Saccharomyces cerevisiae S288C: one gene and its partner. The gene in region 1 interacts genetically with each later gene. Each region holds a gene or a part of one and is shown on either strand. Other genes may lie near its edges.

Region 1 (3,762 bases):
ACAATCAAATATTGGATCGCATAATCCGACTTCGTTTGTTTCGACAGTTGAGTTAAAATATCTAACGAGCTGATGAAAGCCATCGTAGAAAATCTGTTTGAAGTAGCATTGTTAAAGATTTTGTCCAAAGTTAGCAGGCTTTGCATGTCATGCAGTAGTGTCAACCCGAGTGCTATCAATTTATCATCTAAAACCCAGTTTGTAATCATTTGTAAAACGTAAAAACAAGTTTCAGAAAATGTGCAATTATTGTCGTGACCATCTCGTGTACTCCACATAAAAATACTGGCCATAAACTTAACGAAAAATTCCCTTGTACCACTGATTAGTTCAGGCTTCCATAATGGCAAGATTCCGCCACAAACCTTTTTCAACGTAAGCTCATCGAGTTTTAAGTATTTCAAATTACAAAACGTTTGAATAATGCGAGAAGACAGTTTATTATCCATTGAGGACACCGAAATAATAATGGGAATAACTTCTTGCGGAGTCTCTATCTGATGTGCAAAGCATCGCTTCAATTGCCAAATGCACCATTCGTATGGTGATGACGACTCATCGCGGCTATTTTTAATGAGAATGATACTAGAGTACAAGTGTTTGAGAGAATCCCTAGACATGACTTTTCGCGGCAGTAAAACATTGCTGTTTAAAGATGGCTTCATCATGTAATCTACATCATTGGGAATATGCAATTGTGGCCAGTTTTGAGCTAATTGTTCCAATGAAGTGACATCCCAAAGAGAGACCGTACTGTCAGAGGGAACATATTCTGGAAGTGATTGAAGTCGAAGTGGGTATATAGAATCAGCACCTAATTGATGAATTTCACTCAAGTACATGTCAATTGTGTTTTGGACAGTGTCAGCGGGAAAATTAGCGGGATGTGCTCTGGATAATATTCTTTTCAAAATGGATAGGAAATGCGCATCCAATTTTAAGTTTCGATGACTTTTCAAAGTCTTTCTATTGCAATTGATGGTAATTATTGATTCAGTAATCTGACTGGATGCGCCCACGAGACATTGAAATCGTTGCAAAATAAGCGTCGCACTACCGGGAGCGTCCCGGTAACCTGGATGCATAGCGCATCTCTTGATAATAGACAACTTCCAAGGTTTGACATCAACGGGCGTCGTGGCTTGCCAAATAACCAGGGGAGTTATCCACTTCTGTAAGAACGAGAATTGCCATAAATGTAACCAGATAGAACTGGATATATTGTGTTCTCGTTCTGAATGTACAGGAAATAGGAAATAAACATGCACTAACCATTTGCACAACGCAGATTGTAGGACCGGAGGCGTTTGTATGCGATATCTAGAGAATACCGTTGGCGTACCGAGATGGTTAATAATCTCCAAAAGAAGTTCCTTCGTCAAGTAGCCATCAGGTAAAAAGCAATTTTCGACGATGTACACTTTTGTAACTGTGTCTATTATGGAAGTTTCACAGAGTAACCTTACAAGTGCTTGTAGTTGCGGCGAAGAAAGACCATATTGTTTTGATTTTTCGTATAGCAGGCTTAAAGTGGTTTTAAGGGCCTGTGGTGGCGTTCGTTCGTTAGCATTCGTTAGTGAGAGGATGATATCATCTAGTATAAGACTCATTCATGTAAAAAAAACAAAAATTGAAGGGCGAACCGTATTAGCAGGCGTATTGTTTTTCATTTCATAGTTGATTGTTTTTGATAATAAATGATTCTATAATTTTTCGCGTATTATACAAATAAAAGTAAAAGAAAAATAAGATAGAGGGACATATAAAGAAATAGATGTTTTTATAATAAAGGTCTATACAGTATGGAGCGTCGCGTGGCTTGGCTCAAACTTTTAGAGAACCATTGTAGTCATAAACGGATCTTGATCTGATGTACGGATCTAACTTGGAGTAGTTTTCACAAAGAGCGGTGGAAAGTTGTACTCTTTTCTCCTGCAGTTGAATGTATGCTGGATCGTTCAATGGCTGGTGTTCAATCCATTGGGCAGTGACAGTCAAGAATTGTTCGACCAATTCTTCTCTCTCCTTTTCGATCATAGCGCGAGTCTCGGTGTCTTTCAGATGGACGTCCAAAGAGCCATCTGGTGGAGTGTAATGATCCAAATCATTGTCATTTTCTCCGCCCAGATACCTAGGGATGTATTGGGGTTGGATAAACTTGTGCAATTCGTCGATATTCTTAGTGAAAACAATCTTGGACGCGACGACCGGATCCAGCCAATTCTTGATGATGTTCCAAATCGGGTTAAAGATCCAAGGGGCCTTATGGATAAGTAGATGGCCCAAAGATTCCGGGTAGTGAGCCTCAAAACAAGTGATTAGAAACTTGACGGGGGCATAGTCCATATTGGACATGGAGAACCCGTTCAGATCGAACAAGATGGTGGTGGATGCGGGGTAGTTTTCTTTGAAGAAAAGCTTTGATTGCTCGATGACCAACAGGGAGAATTTTTCCAGCTCCTGTTCAGTTTGGTCGGAAGAATGATGTAATCTAGGTCTCACAAGGATGACTGGCCTCATGTCATTGTCGTAACCCTGGATGGTGGCCTTTTGCAATTCCAGGTTCTTAATGACACCGGTCTCGTTATTCTCATACACAGCTCTTTCGCCACCGTTTATGATCTTGTTAATAGTGTCCTTGCGCCAGTACAAATCGTGACCCAACATGGCGATGGTCTTGTCTGCGTTCCACTTTCTGGCTCTGATAAACTTCAAAATGGTGGCGTCTGGAGTTTCATTCTTGATATCGTGCCAGAACTGCTTCTTGGTCGTTTGCGGGTCTAGATTGGCTAGTGCCTTGTGTATCTTGCCCTTTTCATAGAGGTGTGCCGCTTCAGCGGCTTCGCTGGAGTCCTGTGTATGGTCTGAGGACTGAAGCTTGCTAAACCAGGATGATTTCTTCTTCTTAGCAGGGGTGGACGAGGAGTGGAGGGAGTTATTAGGGAAAATATGAGTTCCATCCACGGGAACTTGCCACAGATGGAAAAGGTGTGTCCAAATTTGCTTAAGGACGACCTCCTGGTCTTCGGTCAACTGTCTATCAAAGGACATAATCTAGTTTATATGTGGTCTTCTTATGTGCTTTTGTGCTTTTATGCTTCTGTGTGCGTACGTATCCGTATATTTGTATGTTTGATTTTGTTTAAAGGAGCGTAAGTGACAAGTGCCAAGATTTAAAGAGCGTACCAAACGCTATTGTTTTCACCATGTGAACAAAGCTGTAACGATTTTATGTACGTACGCAAGAGGACGATGCCGATTGAAGGCAGGAGCTCAACAAACACGAAACAAAACAACGAAGAAAGAAAAGAAATATATCAGAGAACAGAGACCGCCTCGTTTAGGGCCGCACGTATACCGCGCACTCTTGGGACGCAGGGACGCGATGGCCTTGCCATGTGCAAGATAAACAAGCTGTCAACGGCACAAGTAGCGTTTATTTGAGACCTGCTTGCTTTAGCTTGCATCATCTCTTGTTCTTCTTACAGTGGTCGCCTTAGACCATCCCATTAGCCAGTTCATGGCCAACTCTCCGTGTGACATGACGAGTGGTTTTCCCGAGTGGAAAGGTTCAGAAATGCATCTGGATTCCGATGGCATACGGTAATTGCCGGCATTATAACACTGTACTACCGAATCCGTCGTTCGTCACCATATTAATTTTCACTCTTGTTGCAGTTATACCGCTATAAGCAATTGAGCCTGCTGAAAGCTTGCTATAAGCTAGAATGTATTGAATGTATTCATCTTCCTTACATCTCT
Region 2 (3,169 bases), on another chromosome or scaffold:
TGATGAAGGCGAAGCCCATCCAGTTTATGAACTTGAAGATGAAGAAGAATTTCATAAGAGAGGTGATGCGGAGGTACAAAAGACAGAATTTTTAACTAAAGAATCTGCAGTAATGGCAGACATTGACAATATTGATAAGCAGGTGGCTAAAGAAAAAAAACAAGAGAAGAAGAGAAAAAGACTAGAAGCCATGAGAAGGGAAATGGAGGCTGCTATGGAAGAAGAAATTTCTGGAGATGAAGAAGAAGGGAAGACAGTAGCATATTTAGGAACAGGAAACTTGAGCGATGATATGAGCGACGGTGATATGCCTGACTCGGAAGGCCACTTGAAAAAGAAAGCTAGAACTGTTGACTATTCCCACGGCCACAATCCATCCAATTCAGTTGATGATGACATTATTGAAGTGGAAGAACCACAAACTTTGGAGGATTTGGAATCTTTGACAGCTAAATTAATCCAGGGTTAAACCCTCCTGCATAGTCTAACCTATAGTATTTAGAACTTGTATACATCTATTCTCTACACTAATATACTTATTTCTTTGTTCAAATCATCGGTAATATTACAATAAAAGAAAAATATGCATATACTTTCGTGCATTGAAGGTGTCAAATGAAATCCCGCTTATAGTGAACAGGCTTCCATCATATATACATATATATATATGTTTATATATGTATATCATCACTTATGCTGCTCCAGGAGATGTAGGTATCTATTCTTTCTTAACGGATCCGCATCTATTAATTGGACCAAATATTGTTCCGAGCTTCTTTCCGTTAGAGCTTCCTTTTCTTCCAGAATATCTTCGAGAACTAATAAAATTTTCAAGCACCAAATATTTTGCTTCCCGGAAAATTCAATTTCGTCATTATTTATTAACAGAATGTTTTCTCTCAAGTCTTTCAACATTTTAAGGTACTCTTGTTCGTCCAGAGTTTTACAAACAATGTCGTTTTTAATGAACCACTTGATATAAAACCATACGGATTGGTCTTCGGCGTCGGTAAACATAGCGTTGATGATATAAGATATTTCAGTCCGAATATACTCCTTTTGATTCCCAACCTCTCCTTTCTGAAACATTCTGCTTATGATCTGTACTCTTTGGTGCCATGCAGAATAATTTGAAATGTTATTGTTAATCTTTATTGTTGTGTATTCAAACTCCTCCTTGTCAAGACTTTTATTAGTGATACTCTCTATGTTACCAACAACTATTCTGCGGTAATGCCATCCGTGGTAATTTCTTGCATCTTGTTCCAATAACTTATTCACGACAGCAAGTTCAGTTTGCCACACTTTAGGGGAACTCGTAGGATAATGTTTCAAGACCCAAAGTCTGTGATTCCATATCCAATAGACTTTGGGGTAATCCTTCAATAGCATCATTACAAAAACTAACTCTTTATCCCAGAAAGGTATTTCCAACTCAGAAGCCAAACTCGCTATAATATCCCTTCTGTAATTCCAAATAGCATTAAATTCCGGATTTTTCTCAAGAAGTTCTGATGTTTTCTTCAGAGCTTCAATTGAGTAAATTTTTTCATCTCTCATATTCAAAACATTTTCAGTCAAGCTTCTATAATCATATATTTTCTTTTCGTCTTGAACTCTCTTTTGTCTCAGTAATTCCTTGGTCCACTGTTTCCTTTTAATGCCATGCTGTTTAATGTGGCAAATATAAAAAATTGCTTGGTAGTCAGTAAAAAAAAGAATTCATAATGTAACGAACATTTGAAGTGCACATACCATTGCTGACCTACTGCTTTATAGTATAAATTCAGTATACTAGGTATATGTGGCTCAAAAATGTGGTTTTTTTCTTTTTTGCCTTTAATTTTTTTCAAATGTTTACGTATGGTTTATGATTTAACATTTCAAGAATAGAAATCGCCCCGAAGAATGATTGATGTTAAATACTCGTACAAGAGTATTGAAAACCACTTCAAAGGGGCCCAATAGCACATTTAATGTCACAATCAATATCACTAAAGGGTTCAACAAGGACAGTTACAGAATTTTTCGAGTACAGCATTAATTCCATTTTGTACCAAAGAGGCGTATACCCAGCAGAAGATTTCGTAACGGTGAAAAAGTACGATCTTACGTTACTAAAGACACATGATGATGAACTGAAAGATTACATTCGGAAAATTCTTCTACAAGTTCACAGGTGGCTTCTTGGTGGAAAATGCAATCAATTAGTATTATGTATTGTAGACAAGGATGAGGGAGAGGTGGTGGAAAGATGGTCCTTCAATGTGCAACACATTTCTGGCAATAGCAACGGGCAGGATGATGTTGTAGATTTAAATACAACACAATCACAAATCAGAGCTTTAATCAGGCAAATCACCTCAAGCGTTACCTTTCTGCCCGAACTAACAAAAGAAGGTGGGTACACATTCACAGTACTTGCATATACAGACGCGGATGCTAAAGTTCCGTTAGAATGGGCCGACTCCAATAGTAAAGAGATACCTGATGGTGAAGTAGTTCAATTCAAAACATTCTCTACCAACGATCATAAAGTTGGTGCGCAGGTCAGCTATAAATATTAATAGAATTCAAGTCAAAAAAAAAAAAAAAGACGGAAGTCCAAAAAAATCTCGTTTTCGATGTTTAGAAAGAATATAGATTTATGAACTATATTATACTATACTACGTACTTCCTCTGTAAACCACTTCATGCGTTTTTTCAAGTGCCTCTGTTAAAGAACCTTGAGTGAGAAACGAAGTCTTTGACACTCAAACTTTGCTTTTTTTGTTCTTCTTTTTGTTGTTGTATTTGAGGGGTGGATACTATCCTCTTCATAACAGGTGGTGATATTTTCAGATCTTGCCTCACAAATTTTGACCAATTCGGATCTTGCATCCTTGCCAAGTTGTTTTCAAATTGACCCAAAAGTACCTTGTCCCACTTGAATATGAAAAGATCGCGATTACTGTCTGGCCTGCTGCCCTCGTCAGTGTCGTCTGTTTCTAAGTTGTAGGCACTCCATAGCTTTTTCCATAATGCCAGGTCCCATGGAATGCCCTTTAAAGCGAGGACAAAAGACCATACCGCTGAATCAGGGTTATTATTGGTCAATTTGGAGTAGGTCTCGTAATAGTCATCAGCGGAATCCAGAGGAGCCATTAGAAGTTTAATAAACTTCAGCAG

The links.
Region 2: mutations in CTF3 (region 1) and MAD2 together harm fitness more than expected from each alone (negative genetic interaction), as found in Saccharomyces cerevisiae (8 studies listed by BioGRID, with this or other methods).

The regions. Positions count from the first base shown.
Region 1 is NC_001144.5:877,571-881,332, reverse strand, and holds the start of CTF3 (Ctf3p), read right to left. Parts: upstream 1,611-3,762; coding exon 1-1,610. Other genes in the region: CSR1 (Csr1p), read right to left, coding at 1,825-3,051; YLR379W-A (uncharacterized protein), read right to left, coding at 3,617-3,762. UniProt on the Saccharomyces cerevisiae protein: Component of the central kinetochore, which mediates the attachment of the centromere to the mitotic spindle by forming essential interactions between the microtubule-associated outer kinetochore proteins and the centromere-associated inner kinetochore proteins.
Region 2 is NC_001142.9:385,681-388,849, forward strand, and holds MAD2 (spindle checkpoint protein MAD2), read left to right. Parts: upstream 1-1,976; coding exon 1,977-2,567; downstream 2,568-3,169. Other genes in the region: RNA-dependent ATPase HCA4, read left to right, coding at 1-469; Rab geranylgeranyltransferase BET4, read right to left, coding at 688-1,668, 1,756-1,758; VPS53 (Vps53p), read right to left, coding at 2,705-3,169. UniProt on the Saccharomyces cerevisiae protein: Central component of the spindle assembly checkpoint which is a feedback control that prevents cells with incompletely assembled spindles from leaving mitosis. Thought to be recruited to unattached kinetochores by MAD1.